2 linked regions of the Elephas maximus indicus genome follow. The protein of the gene in region 2 binds, or shares a complex with, the protein of the main gene of each other region. Links are inferred from orthologs where the notes say so. Each region holds a gene or a part of one and is shown on either strand. Other genes may lie near its edges. The genes, in order: CD4 and LCK.

Evidence for each region.
Region 1: the proteins of LCK (region 2) and CD4 are in contact, whole or in part, in an NMR structure (PDB 1Q68), measured with the Homo sapiens proteins. The link is inferred for Elephas maximus indicus from reciprocal best matches to the Homo sapiens genes LCK and CD4. Residues at the interface, in NP_001036236.1 of Homo sapiens: Glu15, Ile17, Val19, Cys20, Asn22, Cys23, Tyr25, Pro26, Ile27, Val28; in NP_000607.1 of Homo sapiens: Ala429, Arg431, Ile435, Leu438, Leu439, Lys443, Thr444, Cys445, Gln446, Cys447.

The regions. Positions count from the first base shown.
Region 1 is NC_064822.1:63,563,990-63,576,553, forward strand, and holds the start of CD4 (T-cell surface glycoprotein CD4), read left to right. Parts: upstream 1-7,525; 5' UTR 7,526-7,621; intron 7,622-12,564. UniProt on the Homo sapiens protein: Integral membrane glycoprotein that plays an essential role in the immune response and serves multiple functions in responses against both external and internal offenses.
Region 2 is NC_064821.1:73,156,091-73,168,230, reverse strand, and holds the start of LCK (tyrosine-protein kinase Lck), read right to left. Parts: upstream 5,136-12,140; intron 4,883-5,135; coding exon of another isoform or gene 4,870-4,882; coding exon 4,520-4,869; intron 4,245-4,519; coding exon 4,146-4,244; intron 4,005-4,145; coding exon 3,901-4,004; intron 3,674-3,900; coding exon 3,524-3,673; intron 3,233-3,523; coding exon 3,080-3,232; intron 2,967-3,079; coding exon 2,787-2,966; intron 1-2,786. UniProt on the Homo sapiens protein: Non-receptor tyrosine-protein kinase that plays an essential role in the selection and maturation of developing T-cells in the thymus and in the function of mature T-cells. Plays a key role in T-cell antigen receptor (TCR)-linked signal transduction pathways.

The sequences.
Region 1 (12,564 bases), on a different chromosome or scaffold from region 2:
GCAGAAAGAACAAGAACTGATTGAATGGACACAGAGAACCTGGGGTGGAAAGCGAGAGTGTTGCTGTCACATTGTGGGGATTGCAAATAATGTCACAAAACAATATGTGTATAAATTTTTGTATGAGAATTTAACTTGAGCTAAACTTTTACTTAAAGCACAATAAAAAAAATTAAAAAAAAAAAAAAAAAAGAAAGTATACCTTAAAACCTGGCAGCCACAAGCTCAGCTAAAAATTGAGGGTTCTATTGGAACCCGATGACACAGAGGTTAAGAGTTACGGCTGCTAACTAAAAGATAGGCTGTTTGAATCCACTAGCTGCTCCTTGGAAACCCTATTGGGGCAGATTTACTCTGTCTTACAGGGTTGCTATGAGTTGGAATTGACTCCACGGCAGCGACCTTTTTTTTTTTAATTACTAAGGAAAAACTCTGGTGGTGCAGTGGTTAAGATGTACGGCTGGTAACCAAAAGGTTGGCAGTTTGAATCCACCAGGTGCTTCTTGGAAGCTCTATGGGGCAGTTCTACTCTGTCCTATAGGGTCGCTATGAGTCAGAATCGACTCAATGGCAGCGGGTTTTTTGGTATGATAAATGCATCTTTAACTTTATAAGAAAGTGCCAAACTGTGTTCCAGACTAGCTTTACCATTTTGCATTCCCACCAGCAATGTAAGAAAGTGTCAGCTGCTTCACAAACTCTCTAGCACTTGATATTGTCAGGTTTTTTTGTTTGTTTTACTATAGCCATTCTAATAGGTGTTCAGTGGTATTTCATCATGGCTTTAAATTGCATTTCCCATTGGCCAGAATTGACTTGATGACAATAGTTTTTTTTTTTTAATGACTAATAATGTTAAGCAATGGGTTTTGGTTTATTAATAAAGAAGAAGAGAAAACAGATCTGGAAACAACTAAAGGTCTGTGCAAAGAGATAGCTAAGATCTGTAGAATGAATAAAAATTATCAAGATCAATAGTTCTCAAAGCGTGGTCTGTGGACCCCCGGGGATCCCTGAGACACTTTTGTAGAGTCTGTGAGGTCAAAACTATTTTCATAAAAATAATAGGATGTTATCTGCCTTTGACACTATTTTGACATTTGCATTGACATTGCAAAAGCAATCTGGATAAAACTGTTGCCTTGCCATAAATCAAGGTAGTGGCACCAAACTGTGCTAACATTCATTGTGTTCTTCACTGCCAGGCACTTGCAGTCAAAAAAAAAAAAAAAAAAATTAGCAACAGGTTCACTTAAGAGTGCCCTTGATGAGGCAGTAAGTGTTAATTTTATTAAATCTCAATTCTTGAGCACACTGTGTAATGAAATAAGAAATAGCATAAAGAACTGCTGCAAATGAAGTATAATGGTTATCTCCAGTGGAAACACTTGTGTAGTTGTTGGAGTTGCAAGCTGAACTAGCCACTTTTTTTTTTTTCCAAGGGAAAACTACAGTTCCTTGTAAGGACAACTGACAAACTACAGTTTTTCAGACTTGACTATTTGGCGGACAGTTTCTTGATAATGAACAAAATGTAGCTTCAAGGAAAACAACTGACAGTATTTGTGGCCAATGGCAAAATTTGAGATTTCAAGTGAAAATAAGAATTTTGGAAAACTTCTCTGTCACCCATGTGATGCCATCCCAATACTTAAAGACTTTTCTGATGGACTTGGTGGCAATTTAAACTAATATATAGATTTTTTTTTTTTTTTGTAGTTTAATGAAATGTATCAACTTTTGGAAGATCTGCATCATTCAGTGAACCGATACTTTCCAAGTGGCCAATGATGTCATAAAATCATATGTGCGTAAAAGCTGTATTCAAAGTACAAGATAGATCAGAGGATTTTAATGTAACAGAGTACAAAAAGTTAGCTGATATGGTTTCAGGTTACACATTGTAGTGGAATTCCACACTGCAGTTAAGAAACTACCACTTATTGAATTTTAGTGTACTATTTTTTATTAGAATATCTGGGAACCCTGGTGGCCTAGTGGTTAAGTGCTATGGCTTCTAACCAAGAGGTCGGCAGTTTGAATCCACCAGGCACTCCTTGGAAACACTATGGGGCGGTTCTACTCTGTCCTACAGGGATGCTATGAGTCGGAATCCACTCTATGGCAGTGGTTTTTTTTTGTTTTGTTTTATTAGAATATCTGGAAACCCTGGTGGAGTAGTGACTAAGAGCTACAGCTGCTAACCAAAGGCTGGCAATTCAAAACCACCAGGAGCTCCTTGGGAATCATGTGAGGTAGTTCTACAATGTCCTGTAGGGTCACTATGAGTCAGAATTGACTGGACGGCAATGGGTTTGGTTTTTTGGGGGGGGGCGGGTATTAGAGTATTCTGGAGCCCTGGTGGTTAAGAGCTACAGCTGCTAACTAAAAGGTCAGGATGTTCAAATCCACCAGCTGCTCCTTGGAAACCTATGGGTTAGTTCTACTCTGTCCTATAGACTGACTATGAGTTGGTATTGACTCTATGGCAATGGGTATTAGAGTGCCCACAATGATCAAAAAAGCCTTCAAAATGATCTTCCCTCTTCCAACTACATACCTGTGTAGAGCCAGATATTCTTCATATACTTCAACCAAAGAAACATATTACAAAAGATTGAATGCCGAAGCAAAAATGAGAATATGAGAATCCAATTATCTTCTACTAAGCCAGAAATTAAAGAGTTTGCAAAAATGAAAAACAACACTATTCTTCTCACTCAATTTTTTTCTTTTTGGAAAATACAGCTATTTTCATAAAAAATATTTTATTTATGTCAATTTATAATGGATTTAAAGGAATCTTGGTGGTGCAATGGTTAAGCATTTGGCTGCTAACCAAAAGGTCTACAATTCAAACCCACCAGTGGCTCTGCCAGAGAAAAGACCTGGCAATCTGCTGTCATTAAGAATACCATCTAGGAAACAATATGGGGCCGTTCTACACTGACTTATAGGGTTGCTACAGGTTGGAATCAACTTGGATTTATTATTATTTTCAAATAAATTAACAAATACAAATTTGAAAACTTTTCCAGTCTTAATTTCTAATAAAAAAGCCTCTTGGCTTTCAGTCAGAATCAACTGGATGGCAATTAACAACAACAAAGGAGGTTCAAACAAAAGAGGAACAAATTTTGAAAACCACTATTCTAGACAAAGGGATAGAGAGGAGGGTAGAGGAATAGCTTACCAAGCAGAGAAATAGTTTGTGCGGAGACTCCAGGGTAGGAAAGGAGTTAGTACCTTTGAGGAACTGAAAGAAGACCAGAGTGGCCAGAGTATAAGCGAGTTGAAGAGTGGCTGGTACGGGATGCAGCTGGTGAGGGACAAAGGTACCAGCTCACACAGGGCCCTAGGGCGGGTTGAGTTTATGGCTTTATCCTAAAGAAATGGGAAACCACTGAATGTTTCATTTATTAATTTTTACCTTTACCAAAAAAAATGATTTATTTGGCAATACATGCACATTGTTCCTGTCGTGGATTGAACTGTGTCACCCGAAAATATCTGTCAACTTGGCTAGGCCATGATTCCTAGTATTGTATGATTGTCCACCATTTTGTCACCTGATGTGATTATCCTATGGTGTTAATGAGGCAGGATTAGAGGCAGTTATGTTAATGATGCAAGACTCAATCTACAAGATTCGGTTGTGTCTTAAGCCAACCCCATTTGAGATATAAAAGAGAGAAGCGAATAGAGAGACATGGGGACCTCATACCATCAAGAAACAAGAGCCAGGAGAATAGTGCGTTCTTTGGACCTGGGGTCCTTGAGCTGAGAAACTCCTCAAGCTGAGATTGATGACAAGGAACTTCCCCCAGAGCCAACAGAGAGAGAAAGTCTTCTCCTGGAGCTGGCACCTTGAGGTTGGACTTCTATCCTACTAGACTGTCAGAGAGCACATTTCTCTTTGTTAAAGCCATCCACTTGTGGCATTTCTGTTGTAGCAAACCAAAACCCAAATCCATTGCCGTTGAGTCTATTCTGACCGTATGGGACAGAGTAGAACTGCCCCATAGGGTTTCCAAGGAGTAGGTGGTAAATTTGAACTGCCAACCTTTTGGTTAGCAGCCGAGCTCTTAACCACTGTGCCACCAGGGCTCCTCAGTCAAAGATGAGACAGGCGCATAAAACAAAGGGAGACTAAATAGGTACACCAATCCAGGGGCAAGGAAGAGAAAGCAGAAGGGGCAGGAAAGCTGATAATGGGGAACCCAAGGTTGAGAAGGGGAGAGTGTTGACATGACATGGGGTCGACGACCAATATCACCAAATAATATGTGTATGAATTGTTTAATGAGAAACTCATTTGTTCTATAAACCTTCATCTAAAGCACATTAAAAAAAAAAACCTCACTGCCCCCTAAAATGCCTACCTAATCTTTTGAGTTGTTGTCAGTTTGATCCCATATAGACAGTTCTTAAAAGAGCATAATGCTCAGGGCAGAGCTTTTTAACCACTTTAGCTAAACTATTGCTTGCTTTCAAGATGACTTTAAGGGACATTTTCAGTTTATGGTTTAAGGATTATGTTAGGGCAATATTTTCACCCTCCATGGCTCCAGAAAGTTAAGAATTCATGAGAATTTGAAATTCTGTTCTGCATTTTCCCGGTTTGGCATTTTTTTTTGAACACGTGGGAGCAAGCACTTATATTTTTCATTAATGATCTTTCTTGGAGATCATTCCACATAAGTATTAAAAGAGCTTTTCGTATTTTAAAATGACTGCATCATAATTACAGCCCTGGTGGCACAGTGATTAAGAGCTGGGCTGCAAATCGAAAGGTCAGCAGTTTGAATCCACCCGCCGCTCCTTGGAAACCCTATGGGGCAGTTCTACTCTGTCCTACAGGGTTGCTATAATTGGACATCAACTCCACAGCAAAGGATTTTGGGCATCATATTCTATGGTATGGATCCACCATAATTTATTTTACTAGCTGTGGTGTCACTAGGGCTGGTATCACCCAGCAAGGCAACTCAGGGTGTCACCCTGCCCGCCCATGGGTGGGGTGGAGTGGCCCAGCCTGCTCAACCCCCCACACAGGGCCAAGAGCTGCATTGCCCACTCCGCCTGCCCCAGCCCTGCCTCCCAGGGCTCCCCCAGCTCCTCCTCTCTTTCACTGGCCAAAGCGGAGACGCTCCTCTCTGCCCAGTGGGGGGTGTCCAGATGACTGGTAGGGAGGAGGAGGGATGAGGACGGGGGGGTGAGGAATGGCGAGTTACCTCACTGGGTAACTGGTGGCACCAACCCTACTGATTCTACTGCCTTCGTGGCCCCTCCTCTGGCAGCGCTGGCCTGCCCACAGCCACTGACAGACTGTGGAGTCATTTTGGTGGCACTCACTCTGACAGTGTCACCACCACTGTTAGCTAGTCTCCTCTTAAGAAGCCCTGGTGGGGCAACGATTAAGTGTTTGGCTGTTAACTGAAAAGCTGGCTATTAAAACCCACCCAGCAGCTCCAGGGAGAAAGACCTGGGGATCTGCTTCCATAAAGATTACAGCCTAGAAAACCCTATGGGACAGTTTTACTCTGTCCCATGGAGTGGCTATGAGTAAAAATCAGCTTGACAACACCTAAAAACAACAACAGTCCCCTCTTGATTAGGTTGTTTCTAATCTATTGCCACTATGAACAATGCTGCAATGAAAGTACTTGTTGATATGACATTTCGCACATGGAAAAGAACATCTGTAACGCGAATTCCTGGATCTAGGAATGCTGGCATTGTAACCAAAAAGGTTAGACCACTCCCCCTCCATCCATCACACTCCTGGTCTGTGGTCAACTAGCTCCCAATAAGCCATCCTGTGTAGCAGCCCAAGGCCACTTCACCTCTCCCCTTCCAGTTGGGCATGCCCAATAAGCCGAAAAGCTGTCCTTAGATGAACTTCATGTACCACACCCTGAAAAACACACCCCCTAGCCACCATGACACAGCACCCCCACATATGTTAATTAGTTTCTGGAATTGCCCACCTAGCCTAAGAAGCTTGATGAGTTATGTATAATTTCACAATTCCAATTCCATTAACTACCCTAGAATTTCCAACCATGAGGAACTTGGTTTGAGACTTAGTCTCTGAGCTCCTTGCTTGACCAGCTTACGGTAAAGGTCACTTTCTCCTCCTCAAAGGCCTAGTGTTTCTCAATTGACTGGAGGGCGAAACCCACCTTCATCAGGTCATAGGGTCAAAGATATGTGCATATCATATTTTTACATATATAGCCAAATGGCTGCCATAGAGGTTGTGTCAATTTACATTCTGGCAGCAATGTGTCAGTTATGAAGGGTTTTAGCAGAGAAATGACAAGGTCACACATTTTTAAAAGGTCACTCAGGCTACTGTGAGAACGATGGGTTGGAGGAAGGCAGAATTGGAGAGTCCAGGGGACCAGTGAGGAGGCAGGAGCTGTAGTCCAGGCAAAGGATGATGGTGGCACCTTGGATTGGAATGGTGGCAGTGGGGCAGAGTAACCTGGATAGATTTCAGAGCTATTTAGAAGATAAGGTCCACCAAAACAAAACAAAAACCTGTTGCTGTCGAGTCAATTCTGTTACATGTGTTACAGATAGAATTGCTCCATAGCGTTTTCTTCACTGGTATCTTTATAGAAGCAGATTGCCAGGTCTTGCTTCTATGGCACCCCTGGGTAGGCTCTAACCCTCAACCTTTAGGTTAGTAGACAAGCACAGACCATTTGCACCACCCAGGGACCTTAGTCCACAGGCACTAGTACATAAATGCACGGTAAGGGTTGGATAAAGGAGTCAAGGATTATACCCAATTTATTTGGCTTGTTCAACATAGTAGATGAAGCCCTCCCTGAGTGGAAAACTTGAAGCAGAAGTAGGTTTGAAGAGTAGTGGAGTGCTGGATGGTAAGTTTAGTTTGGGATGTTTAGTTGGGTTTGCTATGTCTGATGAATATCCAAGTGGAGATGTCCAATGGGCAGCTGATACGAATGTTTAGAGCTCATGAGAGGTCTGGACGAGAGGCAAACATCTGAGAGTTTACCAGAGACTGAGGTCCAGAGGAAAAAAGTGTGTCCATGATGACTCTGGGCATTCCAGGTATCCTCCTATTCCCAGTCCAGGCCCTTACTGCTACCCAAGTTCATCTATAAGGCCTGTGGTGCAGGTGGCCCTGGAGGCATTCACTGGAAAATTGCCCTTGGAGCCCTAGATCAGGGAGCTATTTTGGGGCTCAACACAACTGCTCTCATATACTCCCCGACCTGCCTCCCACTACTTTCCCTGAAGACCAGGCCAGATGGCACTATCATTGCCACAATCTTTTTCTTGTCACCCAACAGTGGCAGAGACGCTCTGGGCTGTAGCCTGGCCCTACTGAAATTTTTCCCTTGACTTTGGCATTTTCACTTTCACATCTCCCCCAAAAGCCAGGGGGTGGGGACCCCAGCCCCAGAGGGTGACGTGTGGGGCCGGCCCAAGCCTGGGGTGTAGTTACTTCACTACCCAGCTTCCTGTTTCTCTTCATTTGAGCACAGTCTCTCCAGAGGTAACGAAGCCCTCTCTCCACTGGGCTTCAAACCCTTTCACAGATACACTTGTGCAAGAAGCACAGAAGGAAGACACAGACCCAGAGGTAAGATGGATAGACCCAGTTTCATTTTTTTCCTCAGGGCTGGGAAGGGGAGGAGAATGTGGCACAGATGCACCAAAATATGCTGGATTCCCAGTTCTCTGCCCACAGCTCTGACCATTATCTGATTTCTCTCAGGATGGGTCATGTAGTAGCCTCCCACCAGAAATGCGAGCTTCAAGAGGGCAGGGACCCCTCTCTGCATCCCTCACAGCGCACAACTCATTGTCCAAAGCTGCAGGTCCTCCCGGAGGAGAGCTGAGTGGAATTCAAGGGAGAGTAGAAATGAGGCCCTTGAGACTGTCCCGGGCTGAGAAAGGCAGGGGAAGGCAACTAGCCGTAGGGCAGTGGAGGAGATAAAGAATGGGAGATGAGAAATAAGGAGAAAAAGAGGGAAGAAGGGGCTGGGAAAGAAATAGGAAGAATAAATAAATATTAAGGAGAGAGGTGGCCTATGAAAAAGAAATGAACAGAAAAGAGGAGCAAAAAAGGCAAAAGCGAGAAAAAGAGGAGAACCTAGTCTAAAACTTCTCAAGGCAATTCTCCCAAAGTCAATTCTCCAATGACACAACCACCAAAACTTCACACCAAAAGTCATATTTATCATCCTTGTGGCATTCGTAAGCCCCAGAATCGGCGTAGTCTCTTTCAATGATCTCTGTTATGTGTTTTTAAGTTTTCGTCTACTTTTGGGCATTTTTAGGATTTTTATACATATTGTCTAAAGGCACTTACGCTTTAATTAGCTTGAAAATGATTGAAGAAATGGGAAAGCTAAATTGCTCAAAAAGGGTTGAAACCGAGCCCTTGCACACGAAATGCCATAAAAGGGATAGGTACGTCTTTTTAGGTAAATATGTCGTTAGACAAATTGATTCTAGGAGAATTAGTTTTAGATGACTCAGACTGCTCTGGAAGAGGGGGCCGTTGGAATTTGAAAAGGATTTGCAGACCCTCCCTGGGCTTGGTGGTGTGTAGGGGGGAAGCAGGACTCCATGTCCCTCAAGACTGATGCTGTATAGAACTCCAGCCTCCCATCTTCACCCCCAGCCCTTTTGCCTGTCCTGAGATTTCCGTGGCCTTGGAGCCCTGCTGTTCCCAAGTGTCCTCTGCCTTCCCTTCATAGTCTACTCTGGGAGAGGGGCCTCCTGGAGGAGCCTGATACCTCTAAATAGAAAGTCCCTATTCTTGCTAATTCAAGGATCTCACTCTAGGTGGGATAGCACTTCCCGAATGTCCTGTCCTTGTGGGGCCAATTTTTAGAGGCACAGGCCGAGAGTAAAATCTTATGGGGGAAGATCATTGATATTTCACTTTTGACAAATAATTTCTGTGTGAGATTCTGTAGACTCATGCAAAATGGCCGCCCTCTTAACCTCAAACGACAGAGCTCCCAGAGGGCAGAGTTAGAGATACTCAGGAGATGATTCCACTCTTTCAATTTGGGGTACTTATGTAGAAGAGTTCCACCTCTTAATAAAAGCTACCCACCAGTTTTTGTGTAGGGAGCAGAGTTTATTTTAATGGTGGTGGAATAATTTGGAAAAGAATAGTGATAATGGTTGCACGACACGAAGTATGTAATCAATGTCACTGAATTATACATGTAGAAATTGTTGAATTGACAAGAGTTTGGTTGTGTTTGTTTTCACCTAGAAAAAAAAATTCCCCCCCAGTTAGTTCTTGGCAGAGGCCTGGAAGCAGTGCTAGGCTCTGACCCTGGCCGTAATGGTGAGGTGGCGCTGAGGGGATTTGGATAGACCAAGGGTCTTGCACATTTTGACACTCAATAAATGTTTGTTGAATGAAATAACGGTGATGAGGGAGATGGGGCAGGTACCATAGTGCTGGGAAGGGGTAGTTGTCGTCCTGGTTTTTAAGGCTGTAAGGTTGAACGCTGTTCTGTGCTTTTCAGGGGATAGGGGAAGTAGGGAGGGCACAGCTCCCCCCACGTGGGCGTCTGATGCAAAAGAGAGGATGGTGGAGGTTGTAGCCACCGAACCACAAGAGTCTCCTTAGAGGGGTCATGGTCTCTAGGAAGACCACGGTGTCTAGGAAGTTCATACGAAGCCAGTAAGCAGTAGACAAAGGGTGAGTGTGTGTGTGTGCGTGTGTGTGGCTGGGCTTGAGGGGGCTGGTGGGAGCTACGGGAAGAAGATAAAAGTGCCTGTGGGACCACAGACTGTCACTGTGGTGGGGCTGCGCCCTCTTCCTCTTCTCAACCTCAATCCTCATCCCATCCCCAGGGGCCGGGGGTGAGGGTGGCAGGAACTTCAAGGGCTCCCAGTGTGTGTGGCTGTGTGTTGCCATTCTGGTCTTTTCTCTTTCTTGGTCTCTCTTTGTCTCTGTTTTGCTCTGTGCATGTGTGTTGCCTCTCAAAATTTCTTCATTTTGCTCCTTTTTGTACTTCTCAGAGCTTTGTGTGTGATTGTGCGTAGTGTGAAGTGTAGCTGTTGCTCTAATAAGTTTATCCGAGTCTTTCCCTCCCTTCTTCCTTCTCATCCTCCCTTGGGACCTCTGTGTGTATCTCGGGGAATCTGTCCTTTTCCCTTTGTCCACCCATGTCTTTCCACCTCTTGCTTTCACCCTTGTCTCCAGGCCATGCACTGGGGTCCCCTCTGTTTTGCAGATGGAAAGCTCCCTTTAGATCAAAAAACAAAAAACCAGTTGCCTTCCAGTCAATTCCAACTCATAGTCAACGTACAGGACCCTACAGGACAGAGTAGAACTGCCCCACAGAATTTCAAAGGAGCGACAGATGGATTCAAACTGTCCATTTTTTGGTTAGCAGTGGAGTTCTTGACCAGGGCATCACGATCAAAGCTTGTCAAAAGCCTGCATTCCTGCCAGAGGCCAAGATGCCTGCTTACAGAAGGAGGAACTAGAGCTTAGTGGCAGCTGGAGAGGGGAAAGATGAAAAATGAGAAGAGGAAAGGAGGCAAGCAAAACCAGGAGAGCCAGATTCGCCTCCTGGTGTATGAGGCACAGAGGGAGACACAGACATAGGGAGCTGACGATGGAGCAATCAGCTTGGGGAGGCGCAGAAACAGAAATGCACAGATGGGAGCAGAGAAACAAGCACAGAGAGAGAGAAGCACCAGGCTCGCGGGGTGGGGGCGGGCAGCCTCCAAGCCTCTCTCCCGGGGCTGTGGTACACAGGATGCTACTACGCTAAGGGCGGAGCTCGTCCGGGGAGGCTGAGGATGTGGGAATCAAAGGCCAGCTCTCTGGGGCGGCAGCGGAAGCCCAAGTCACCGAAGCAAGCGGCGGGCTTCTTCTGGAAACCCACAGCCTCCGCCGCTGAGCTGAACCCTGGGGCAGTTTGGGGTTGTGCGGGCGATTCGGGGGAGGGAGGTGGGCCTCCACTCAGACGCCAGGTTCAGAATCCCAGAGTGAGGAAGGAAAAAATGACCACCGTTGTAGGTGGGGAGGGAAGGGTCAAGAATGTCCTTAGCCTTCCTCAGGAACGTTACAAGGGTAAGTTAAATTTAAACCCAAGGGAAGAGAGAGCCCATATGGAGGCTTTGTCCCTTCTCTGCCCTCTGCTCACCAAGGACCCAATGAGTCTGGGATGGGGGACAGTGGGATTATTATCAGGTGTAAGGCTATCCCTACCCCACCCTTCTTACCCCCCTAATGCCTCCTGTTCCCTGTACTGACTTGAAAACAACTTCACCCCAGTGACTGACTAGCCTCCTTCCCTCTTTTCCGGAACCCTCCTTCCTGTCCTCCCATTGCAACTCATAGTGACCCTATAGGACAGGGTAGAACTGTCCATAGGGTTTCCAAGGCTATAAATCTTAAGGTAAGCAGACTGCTACGTTTTTTTCCTCCGAAGTGGCTGGTGGGTTCCACTCGTGGGACCTTTCAGCTTGCAGCCCGGTGCTTTAACCACTGTGCCAACAGGGCTCATTTCCTGTCCTCTTCTCTTCCTATTTCCCTGGTTTAAAAAAAAAGTGTGTGTATATATATATATATATATATATAACCAAAAAAAAAACAAACCCACTGCTGTCGAGTCGATTCCGACTCATAGCGACCCTATAGGACAGAGTAGGTCTGCCCCGTAGAGTTTCCAAGGAGCGCATGGCAGATTTGAACTGCTAACCTTTTGGTTAGCAGCCGTAGCACTTAACCACTATGCAACCAGGGTTTCCTAAGAGGAATCACCCCTGGCCCCTAACACATAGTAGGTGTTTGATATATATATCAAGCACCTACTATGTGTTAGGGGCCAGGGGTGATTCCTCTTCCAGGCAGATGGAGTGACTGGAAGGGACCTTTTCTATCTTCCCCAAACCTTATTAGGAAGCCCAGGCCCCCAGCACCTCCTCTGAGTGCTATACCCTTCTTATGGATTTTGCATCAGAGCCGGACAGGAGCCAGAATCCAGCTCAGGTTGTTCAAGAGCCTGTAGAGGGAGGGTTATTTACAGAGGTGAGAACAGGGTTAAGGGAACCAACAAACATGTTAAGGCTCCCAAATACTAATAATAGTAGGAAGGGTCCTGAAGGGGCAAGAGATGGAAATGGTGTTTGCAGACACCAGTGAGAACTTGAACTGTGGATGACGGACCACCCGACAGGAGCCATAGTCTAAGTGGACACAGGCATTGCCAGAAAACATGCCTCAGTATTCTCTCCCCCAGCCCTGCCATCTTTTGCAGGTACTTCTCGTTGGCTAAACTCAACTGATAGCTGGAGGGCAATGCAACATGTGGCAGTCAGGCTTCTTGGCAGGGAGCAGAGTGGGGAAGGGCAGAGAAAAAATAACGGGTTCCTACGAGGATAAGTAGCATGGATTGGGTCACACTTAAATGACCCATTCTAGTGACAGAATGAACATTAAGCATAGAAAAAGGAACCAGCGATTTCCACTTTTATTTGTTGCCTAGGGCTGCCGTAACAAAATACCACATAGTGGGTGGCTTATAAGAACAAAAATTT
Region 2 (12,140 bases):
AAATCTTGTTCACTTATCTAGTGCCCAGCCCAGAGTAAGCAGCAATGACTGTGTGCTGAAGGTATTGAATGGAATATGGAAAGAGATCCTGGGGGCCTTGGGGCATCTCTCGTAGTGGAGGGTGGCTGGAAGAAAAACACTATGGAAGTTGCTAGGATGAAGCTTGTGACCAGTGGCACTTCCCAAGAGATTAAAACCTCATATGAGGATGACAGCATACCTGAGTGTCCCCACTATGGGGCTAAATTAGTCACCAAAAACAAAGGCCTCACCCAGAGGCAGCAAATATGTGGATATATACAGCCATTCCTCTATTGTGTCTGTGACAAATGTTGCTAATCACAGTACTCACTCCAGTGAGCTTCAGAATCCTTCTCAACCCAGCTCTCCAAGCAACTACCAACCAATCAAAGTTGGCACCTATAATGAAACCTACTTGCCATGTCTAGAATCTATTAGCCAATTACCTTTTTCCCTTCCTGAAAGAGGGACAGATAATGTATTTCCAAAGAATCAGAACTAGATAAAAACAACAAATGTATGATGTAGCTAACATATGGCAGGCACTGTTCTAACTTTCATCCTCACAAAGACCCTATGAGGAAGTTACTATTCCATTATTATCACCATTTTACAGATGAGAAAACCAAGGCAGAGAGAAGGTAAGTGATTAGTCCAAGACCACTGTAGTGCAATTGATCACTTTTATATGGCCTTTCTCACCATAGCCTTGTAACTCTCACGGAATGACTGAGTGGGACTATGCAAAAAGTGCTTGTGGCCCACCAGGGAGATTGGACAGCTTGCTAATAATGGTGCACACCACCCTTGTGTGGGTGGAGCCATGTAAATAAGGTCAGTTTTGCTGTCCCACTAGGCTTAAAACAAGCCATTCCAGAGGCAGAAAGGGAGGACCTCACTACCATGAAGAAAGAAGAGCTGGGAGTGGAGTGCATCCTTTGGACCCAGGATCCCTGCACTGAGAACCTCCTAGACCCAGGAAACAGCTGTAACACCGGAGATGGCGCAAGACACCGAGAAGCAGTGGCAGAGAAATAGTGGCAGCAGAGGCACCAGGAGACCAGCAGGAGATGGTGCAGCTGGCTGCATGGCCCACAGAATGAGAAAGCTGGGCACCTTTGGGCCCAGGTTTACTGGCAGAGTAGGGTGCCTCTGGACACTTATTGGTGGAGCTAAAGAGCTTTGTAACACTTGCCTGACCAGGCCAGAGGCTGGGCCAGCCCAAGAGGTTTGAGAGGCCGAGAGGCCAAGAACCAGGTAGAGGCCTACTTGTGCGCATGGCCGAGAAGCTGTCCTAACTGAAGAACTATATCTTGAGTTATCCCTGATCCTGAATTTTAACCTGTTACTTCCCTAATAAATGCCAAAACTCTGAGTATGATCTATGAGTTTTGTGTGGCCATTGCAACAAATTATCGAACCCATCAGAGAAGTAGAGCGTGCTGTGGGAGGGGTAGCTGGTGTCACAATTGGTGAAAAGGTTGGAGGGTAGAGGTATGTCTGACCTTCATCTCATAGGAATCAGCCTCGGGCTGATGCTGATGGTGATTCTCCTCTTTCCTTACGAAGTTAGAGGAGGAGGTCAGACGCCACCCCCATGCCATTTTTACAACCACACAACCATGAAGACAGGATTCTAATCCAGGCAGTCAGACTCTAGAGCCCTTAATGACTATATTCTTTCTGGGTGAGCTCATTTAGATTTTCTGCTGTTAAAGCAGGAGCTGCACACGTGGGTTTGCCATGAGTCAGAATCAACTGATGACAACTAATAACACAACGTCTTTAGGGAAACTGAGGACCGGAGGTGCTATGGGGACTTAGCCTGGGTCACACAGCAAATCAGTGTCAAAGTGGAGCTTAGAAACTCAGTCTCTGCCTTTCCGGGCTCTCTGTCTAATAGTACAGCCCCTACAGCAACACCTTCCAGGGGAGGGGGAGGGGGAAAGGACTCACCCACAGCTGGAAAAAAAGGGCCTTGGGGCAGATCTAAGGAACCCTGGTGGTACAGGGGTTAAGTGCCTGGCTGCTAACAGAAAACAAAACAAAACAGAAAGGTCAGCAGTAGGAGCTCACCAGCCGCTTCACGGGAGAAAGGTGTAGCACTCTGCTTTGGTAAAAATTGCCATTGAGGCTGAGTCGACTCTGACCCATAGCAACCCTGTACGACAGAGTGGAATTGCCCCATAGGGTTTCCAAGGCTGTAAATCTTTACCCAGGCAGACTGCCACATCCTTTGCCTGTGGAGTGCCTGCTGGGTTCAAACTGCTGACCATTCGGTTAGCAGCCAAGCACTTAGCCACTCTGCCAGCAGGGCTCCTTCTCCATACCTTCTCCATAAAGATTACAGCCTTGGAAATCCTGTGGGGCAGTTCTACTCTGTCCTATAGGGTCACTATGATTTCCAAACCACTCGACAGCAATGGGCTGGGACAGATCTGTCCTCCCAAGGGTCAGGAAGGACAAAAAGGGGAGAAAAGAACCTAGGGGCCCATTCAACTCCTGAGATCTAGCATCCTGAGATCAAGACAGGGTTTTGAAGAAAGCAAAGGAGACTGCAGGTAAGGGAAGATCGAGGCGAATGCTCTTCCAGGCTCTGCCACCGTAGACTGGGCCCCCAGATAATATGTCCGGTTCTAGTCCTTGGCGGTGCGCCTTCAGCGGCCCAGGAAGCCCATCTAGAAACCCTTTATGCTGAGCCAGAGGACAATGCAGAACCCCACCCTCCAGGAGGGGCGCAGGGGACCGCGGCGCCTGGAGCGCACCGTTCTCCATGTATTCCGTGATGATGTAGATGGGCTCTTGGGTGACCACGGCATAGAGCCGGACCAGCCGCTGGTGTTGCAGCTGCTTCATGAGATTGGCCTCGGCCAGAAAGGCGTCGGGAGACATGCTGCCCTGCTTCAGGCTCTTCACTGCCACTTTCGTGTGCCCGTTATAGTACCCTGAGGGAGAAGGGGTTGGGGGAGTCACCCGCTGCCAGTGCACCTGTACTCAGAGCTTTCTGCGGACGCCTCCCCTCCCTCCTTCCCCGGCAACCCTGGAGGGCCACACTCACCCATCCACACCTCCCCGAACTGGCCAGCCCCTAGCCGCTCCACCAACTTCAGCGTCTCCCTGGGAACCTCCCACTCGTCCTCCCACCACGGTTTCTGGGGCTTCTGGGTCTGGCAAGGGCGACTCAACCGCGTGCACAACCCGTCCGGAGCATCTGCGGGGACACGGGAGAAGTGTGAAGGCAGGCCTTGGGTCACCCCACCCAGCGCCCACCTCACCGAGTCCCGGTGTAGGAGAAACGGACTGGCAGGGCGGTGTGGGGCTGTCACCCGACACCTGGGACTGTAGGGTCGGAGACCCCGCCCCACCCACTGGGGGAAATGAAGGAGCACGCTCAGAAATGGGGGGAGGGTAACTCTGAGAGAAACTGGGGGGAGGGGGCAGGCTGGTACGGCAGAGGAGAAGGGGCCTGGGGCAAATCTGAGGGAGTCCTGGAGTTGCTCACTGGTGTAATGGCGGACCAGTTCATGCAGGCCGGGGAAAGTGATGCGTGGGGAGATGTAGAAGCCGCCGTTGTCCAGGTTACGGATCTTGTAATGTTTCACCACCTCTCCCTGGTTCTGGTCAAAGTCCCGGACCGACAGTGAGAACGATCCTGAACGAATGAATGAATGAATGAACAAAAGAATGCAAAAGAGGGCGGGGTCGCCTTCCCCGAGCCGCGCACGCCACCCATGCCCTTCTGCTCGGGCTCACCCAGGTGGCACCATGCCGCCTCACTGCCCTGCCTTGCCAGCCCGCGACCCCGCCCACTGGGAGGCCCCCAGCCTGAGGTCCCGCCCCCGCGGCCCCGCCCCGGCTGTGGCCCCCCCAACCGCTCACCCACTGTGCTCTCGCTCTCCCGGATCAGGAAGGAGCCGTGCGTGTTGCCGGGCGCCAGCAGCTGCCGCTCCGCGTCCTTGCGGCTCAGGTTCTTGAAGAACCAGCTGAGCAGGGCAGAAACGACGGCTGTCGTCTGTTAGTCCCTTCTTCTTCCGTCCCCCTCAACCAGTCACCACGACTCCGAGCACCCACTCTGGGGTCGCCACATGTGTTCCCGCCCATCCCCACGACAAGCCCCCACTCACGGTTCGGGCTCCAGGCTGTTTGCTTTGGCCACGAAGTTGAAGGGGATGAAGCCTTCCTGGCCCGTGGTCAGAGACTGTGCCTTCCACCACTCGCCGCTCCTGCACCACAGCGATGGTCAGCGCGGCCTGCCCAGCCCTCGACTGAGCAGGAGACCCTTCCTTTGAGTCCTCAGCTCCACCAGGTCTCCCTCCCCACAGCTCAGCACTCTAGAGCTTCCCGTTTGTTCCAAGGGCCCCCCCCCCCAGCCAATCAGGACCTCAGGGTGTAGCTGGAGGTACCGGGTAACTCTGAGGATGGGGGTCTTAGACCAACAGCCCCCTCCCTCACAGACCCCACTAGGACTGTGGTGGATGGGATGAAGAGGGCACTCAACTGCTCCAAGATGCGGAGCTGTTCGCCCTTCTCGAACCCCAGGTCTCCGTCGTGAGAGGGCTCATAGTTGTGCAGGGCGATAACCAGGTTGTCTGTAAAGATAGGGGGCGTCAGGGCGAACCGGCCTGGGGTAGGCTGGGAGCATGGAGGTCGGGAGTTATAGGGCCAGAGACAGGACTGGGGGCAGGAGGGGCCGAAAAGGGTAGAGGGTTCGGAGGAGATGAAGGCAGACAGCCAAGGATCCACAGGCCTCATCTTCCAGGCCCTGCTGGTTGGGGTCACCTTGCAGTGGTGAGGCCGGAGGGATGGAGCCCTCGTAGGTGACCAGTGGGTCCCGCACATCAGAGCCATTCCGCATGGGTAGCTGTGGGGTGGAGGATGAGGGTGGGGTTAGAGAGCAAGAGGCTGGGTCTTATCACTAACTTTGTCAGCTATTTGCTGTGTGACTTTGGGAGATTCCCTTCCCCTCTCTGGGCCTCTCTTTTCTGTATACCGGGGTAGATGGTCAACTGTGTTATTTCAGGGACCTGTAGTTGTGGTCCATTCTTTCTCCTGAGTGTCCCTGGGCCCTGCACTTCACCTAATTCCCTCACCAAGTCCACTCTCTTGCCTCTTACCATGGCTTTGCTATCCAGTGGGACTATGGGGTAATGGCAGTTCTCACACACATCGATGTTTTCCATCCAGTCATCTTCAGGATTCGAGCTGCAGCTGCAGCCCATGGTCCCTGGGGGAATGGAAAGGGGAGTGAAGGGACTTCACGCAAGACCTGCAGCCCCAATACCAGACATCCTAGGGCGAGGTTGTCAACCCCCCCCCCCCCCCCATTCACCAGCCACAGAAAATCTGAAATGGTGGGCCCTAACTCCTGACTGGTGCTCTCTTGGAGCTCCAGGGCCACAAACAAAGTCACATAAAGCCCTAGGCCCCGCCCTCCCACCTGGGATGGGCAAACTGCCACAGATACCTTTCTTAGTTGAGTTGCCCACTTCCTGCCTCTCCCCTCTCTCTTTCCCTCTGCCTGTCCCCCACGTTGGGGGACTCCCTCCCAGAGAACACACATACATATTTACCCAAGCCCTGTGGAAGACCTAAATTTTTATCAGATCCTCCCCTCCCAGAGAGGTGTACAGGCCCTATCTCTTAATTACAATCCCTCTCCAGCCTAGGAAGCTGGGTCAGAGACACCTGTCCCCAAAGGTCAGGCATTAGAGCCCTCCGCCATACACAAAGCCTCCTTCAGAGGGTTTCTTCCAACAGGGTCTTACCTCCCCCCAGCATAACCCTCCAGTGGCCCTGTTGGCCATAACTTTTTTTTTGTCTTAGCAGTGCAACCTTTTTGTCAGGTGAAGTCAGGCAGAGCTCTGTAAATAAAGTAGGTAAAAGTGGAATTGCTCTGTCTGAAGCAGAGTGGCACCTCACCCTGAAGCCCCCAGAGTCCCTGAAGCACCTCTTTCCCTAGGGCTGCCCCTCACAGCTGTGTGGAAAGCACTAGTCTTCAGACAAAGTCTAATTTGCCATGGCACAATATCAAGACCAAATCCACCTCCTCAGTCTATTTTGCTACACACACACACATAAACAGCCACACACGCTCACGCACCCTGTGTCTGAACCCCTCTTGCCTTTCCTAAACACCCCGCACTGTTTTCTTACTGCACGGCTTTGCACATGTGGTCCTCCTGTCGTGGAATGCTCTATTTTGTTCATCGGCTGAACTCTAACTCAGCCTTCAAGTTTCAGCTCAAATATCACCTTCTCTATGAAGCCTTCCCAATAATCTTTGCTACCCTTTCACTCCTAGTTCCTACAACATTCTGCTCAGGCCCCAATCATCAACCTCAGCGCTGAGTGCCATGATGACTGATTTATGTGTTAGTTCCACCACGTCCCACCATCCCCAGACTCCAGGTTCATCAAGAGCAGAAGCTGCGCTTTATTTGCCTTAATGCCCCAGGCACCCAGAACCAGTTGCTATTTTAAATTTTGAATGATATGAGGAGGTTTAATGCACCAATTCTTCTATCTGCACAAGTCTTAGAAACAACCAGGTCTAACCTTTGATTTTAGATTAATAAACCAAGACCCATGCTGGGACCAGGTGGGGATGAGGAGCAATGGGGTTTTCTGGTTAACAAGAGTCAGAGCACAGATCCAGGAGCCAGAGAGAACTAAGTTCAAATCCCGATTCTAACACTGTGTGACCTTGCGGAAATCATTCTTCCAAAGCCTCACTTTTCCTCTTCTGTCAAATGGGTATCATCAGTCTTTTCTCATAAAAAAAAAAAATTTAAGCTTATGTTAATGTTAGCTTAGTTTAGAACTTCGAAAGACCTCCCCGCTCTCCACCAGGGCCCATTCTGTCCTACCAGCCCCTGCTTTGTAGGGTAGGGGAATGGGACTGGTAAATAATCCTCTTTGCTGCTCATGTTTCTTAAACTGACATACTCCTGACCCCCCATGGATATCAGATGTCATGGGTGTGCATCTTCCCAGAGTGCCAGTGGTTCCTGAATTTATTCATATAGCTAAATAAACATAGACCTATTATGGAACAAATGCAAAATGACATGAAATTTTAAGCCAAATCAAGAGTCTTAAAGGAAAAGAATACATATCTACTCTTCCTCCCACTGTTAGGAGTCCTTTGTGGGGGGGGGCGGGGGTTCATTTGAGAAGTCCTTCTAGGCCAGAGTCCACCCATCTGTGGCTGCAAATGGCTTTCTGATTTGCTGATTTTATTATGGCCAGGAACTAATTAGCAGCAAATGCCTCCAGGAAAGGAGCAATAGAGACTTGGAAGTAGCCTAAGAAGAACTGAGCTATCTAGTAAGATAGCAAGCATCCTATGGCTTGTGATACTGGGAAACCACAGGTTGGTCCTGTAGTAGAGAAAATCCCAACATCAGATGAATTATGGACTTAGATCAATAAAGTTCCTCCCAGGCTTAACATTCTGGGAGGCTCTGGAAAAGGGCAAGAGAACAATGGGAAAACAATGGGCTTGAGACGGGGGATGAACTGGGCCAAGACCAAGAGCCTGTGAAAGTCCTGGGATGCAGTGGTGAGGAGAGGCAGCTAGAAGGGCAGAAGGAACCCAGGCTGGAGATCAAGGGACTAGATGGCACCCGGTGCAGGCTGGGGTCAGGTAGGAAGGGAAAAGGAGCCACGGGCCTTGGGGTGAGGTCCAAGAGAGCCTGCAGGAGGACCTAGAGCCTGGACAGAATCTGGGCCCACCGGAAAGGACCTCACATCCCTAAGGAGAGTGAGAAAAGGCCAGGCTCTGTTAAATTAAACCAAGAGGAACTCTGTAACTCTGACCCTGACTGCTTTCCCTATGGCTTATTTTGTGCTCCTGGAGCCCTTCAACTGAAGGAAGCACATCTTGCCTTCTACAAGTGTGTGAGCATTAGCGTGAAGAGCCTGGCAGCAACCAGGAGACCCCAGAATTTGACAATAAGAGAAATTATAAGGTAACTTTTTTAATGGTAAATATGTATGTAACAAAACATTTGCCATTTCGTCAATCATCACGTGGGTAGTTAGGTCAGTGACAGTAATTATGTTCACCATGTTATTCAACCACTACCCATACCCATTCCCAAATCTTTCCGTCATCAGAGATGAGTTTGGTGGTTCCCAACCTAGTGTTTGCATGCTCCCAGAAGAAAATAGTGTTGAATACCTTCAGGGTATTTTAAAATTTCAAAAATCTACATGGAAATTATACTACTACTAGTTATTGTTCCCTCATTGCATACTTAGTTAAGTCTCTGATCAAATTTTGAAGTAGAAAAATAAGAAAATTAGTGCCTAAACAACGTAGTTTGTTAGGGAAAATGTTTAAAATCATGAGATCCATGGAGGGGGGTGGGAGGTGGCAAAGGAGTCCTTGGGAGGGAAAAGTTTGGGAACCACTGAGGAAATCCACCGGCCTCGTTTTAAAGATGGAGAAGCTGGGGAATCAAAGAGGGTAAGTGATTTTCTCAACAGCACACCGAGGGGTCTTGGCAGAGGCAAAACTCAAATCAGGCCCCTACATTCCTTATCAATGGACCCTCCTCTGCTCCTCGCTCCCTGGGAGATCTAAAGAATGTGGGGGGATCTTGAGAGATCATAGAGAAAGCAGGTGGGGGGCAAGAATCGTTAGTGGTCATGCAGAGAGCAGTTGGGTGGGAGGACAGGTGTGACAGTGGGTTTACTCTTCATCAAGTACTTGATCATTGTGCTATTAACAAAGACCTTTCTCTTCAAGACAATTTTTCCCTCTGCTTAGAATACACATTTCTGAGTGTACATTTACCTGACTCAGTGTAGGTGAGTCTGTGCACATGGAGGCATAAGATTTAGTGAGTGTCATGCTTATGTGTGCACACCTGTGCATTTGTATGAATCCGCATGCACAGATGGACATCTAACAGAATGGGAGTATTTATAGCTTGCTGGTATCCCCACGTAATTGTAAGATCATATATGCATTCACCTAGTTTTACAAAATATAGGTCCCATCCTCCCAGTCTCAGCTTGACAAAGCCTGCTGGGTAGCCAAAATGATATAACCAGGTTAGTAAAACCAGGTCAATAAAAATTTCTCATTATCTGAAAAAAGGAAGAAAAAGAGAAAAGCAACAAACAGTAGATTCAAGGAGCTGCTGGCAATAAGAATAAGAACCGGCAATAAGGACAGATAGTGGGGTGAATGAAACAGGACATTCTCTTCTCCCAGCTCAGGAATCCAAGGTCAAGAGTAGAAATTTCATAGATCCTATATCACCTCTGGAAACCCTGGTGGCGTAGTGGTTAAGTGGTACAGCTGCTAACCAAAGGGTCGGCAGTTCAAATCCGCCAGGCGCTCCTTGGAAACTCTATGGGGCAGTTCTACTCTGTCCTATAGGGTTGCTATGAGTCGGAATTGACTCGACGGCACTGGGTTTGGTTTTTTTGGGTTTATATCACCTCTGACTGGGGCCTGTAATGCTCTCAGTGAAACTCAAGTTTGCCCATGGTCTATACAGCACTTTGTGCAAACTATAAAAATGTCACCCCTCCCACGGGCTGCAAACTTAGAGAGTGGACTGAGGGCTAGGTTTCAGCCTCCCCCCTCCCACCACTTTTTGCTTCTCAACACAATTCCCAACCTGCTCAACATACCCAGTGGCCCTGCTCATGTCATATATGTATGTTGTTGTTGTTAGGTGCCATTGAGTTGATTTTGACTCATAGTGACCCCATGTGACAGAGTAGAACTGCCCCCATATTGTTTTCTTGGCTGCAGTCTCTACAGGAGCAGATCGACAGGTCTTTCTCTCACAGCGCCATGAGGTAGGCTTGAACTGCTGCCAGCCTTTCCATTAGCAGCCAAGCATTTAACCATTTGCAACACCAGGGCTCCTTATATATACTGTATACAATTGATCAAAAATTCCAGGCTGCAGAAAGCTCCTGGACTGGGTTTTGTGATCCCAGAGTGTTTTAGAACCATATCACAGTGAGTTCTGATTCTTGACAACTTGTTCACTTTTATCAACTCCACCAACATTATCTTCTTTGGGTGGGCTCAGAACGTGTTCTTGTCCATTTTTTCAAAAAGGGCAGTACTTTCCTTCTCCTAAACCATAGACCTATTCATTTATTGAACCAAACCAAAAACCAAACACACTGCCATCGAGTCGATTCTGACTCACAGCGGCCCTATAGGACAGAGTAGAACTGCCCCATAGAGTTTCCAGGGAGTGCCTGGTGTATTCGAGCTGCCGGCCTCTTGGTTAGCGCCAAAGCACTTAGCCACTATGCCACCAGGGTTTCCATTTATCGAATATTCCATCCAAAATGCTTCCCAGCTTCTTGCCGGGGTTTCTCAGTCCAGTGTTCTTCATCAAGAACAGGCCGGTTATTCCACTCCAGACCATTGTACTCAGGGCCACCTTGTGGCAAAAGCTGTCAGGAATAATTTAAAACATAATCTTGGCCTTTGTCTCTGACCAGGATTTGGTTTTTGGCTAAGTTGCATCTGTTCAATGGCAATGCCCACACGGAAACTTGTCAAAATATAATAGTCAAGAATCAGGGTTGGCGGGCAGAGTAAATAATTTCTAATGGGTAAAACAGGGATGTGTCCTGGGTTCCCTCCTTTTTCATGTGTTCCTTTTTGATACAATTGTTGTTAGCTGGCATCAAGTTGACCCTCAACTCATGGTGACCCCATGCACAATGGGACTGGATCTTTGTGATCCATAAGGTTTTCATCGGCTGATTTTTGAAAGTAGGTTGTCAGGCCTTTCTTCCGAGTGCATCCTAGTCTGGAAGCCCCGTCAAAACCTGTTCAGCATCATAGCAACACTATAAGGTGCCTGAGGTGCACTGACCAGGAGTTGAAACTGTGTCTCCAGCATGGAAGGTGAGAATTCTACCACTGAACTGCCCCCTTTTGATATAATATCACTTTTGAATTAACTTTGTGACCTGTTGCCACAGAGAACAGAAAGATAAGTCTTCTCTTACATGCAAACAGATGAATTCATTATCACAAACTGGGAATAACTTGAACACAGAACTGACTGTTAGTTAATTATTGCCATAAAGAAGGGCCCTTCTTCTTTTAAGGGTGATGGAAAGATTTGGAAATGAATAGTAGTGATGGCTGAACTCACTGAATTGTACAGGTTAAAGATGTTGAAGTGGCAAGTGTTTTGTTACATATATATTTGCCACAATTTAAAGAGGAAGAAGAGCTACAGAGCAATTATTCTAAGCTAAAGCTGGTATTTTCCTAGAGAGGTCCCCCAACTAGTAAAGTGTATGCACCTAGTAATTCCTTTCAGTGAGTTTCCTCGTGTGGCACAATGGCTCATTTTTGTGTGGTGTTTCTAGCCATGGTCTTGTAACTCCCACCCGACTTATTGGGTGGGACTTTGCAAATAAGACAATTGTGGCCCACCATGGAGATGGGTCAGTTTTGCTTTAAAAGAGAGCCAGTTCCAGAACAGAGAGAGGATTTCACCACCACCAAGAAAGAATAGCCAGGAGCAGAGAGCACGTCCTTTGGACCCAGGATCCCGGAGCTGAGAAGCTCCTGAACCCAGGCGGTAAAGAGATAGCTGTAACACTAAAGAGGGAGATATGGTGGCAGAGAAACAGCAGCAGGCGAGACCAGCAGGAGATGGCGCAGTAGGCTTCCTAGCCCACAGAGCGAGAAAGCTGAGTGCCTTTCGGCAGGAGGCTTGCTGGAGGAGTAGAGTGCTTCTGGGCACTTGGTGGGGCTAGTTTTGCAAACCCAGGAAGCTAGAGCTGAGCACCTTCCGTGAGGCTTAGTGGTGGAGTGAGGTGCCTCAGAGCACTTATTGACAGACCTAAAAAAGCTCTGTAACACGTGCCCCTGAGCAGGGCCAAGGCTGAAGGGCCAGAGAGAGGCATGTCTTCGGCAAGGCTGGGAAGAGGCTGTTCTGATGGATAAACTGTATCCTGAGTGTTCCTTAACCTGAATTGTAACCTATTGCTTCTCTAAGAAACCCCATAATTGTGAGTATTGTCTGTGAATTCTGTGTGGCCATTGCAATGAAACACCAAACTCAGCAGAGAAGTAGAGAGTGCTGTAGGAGGGAGGGTTGGTGTCAGTATTGGTA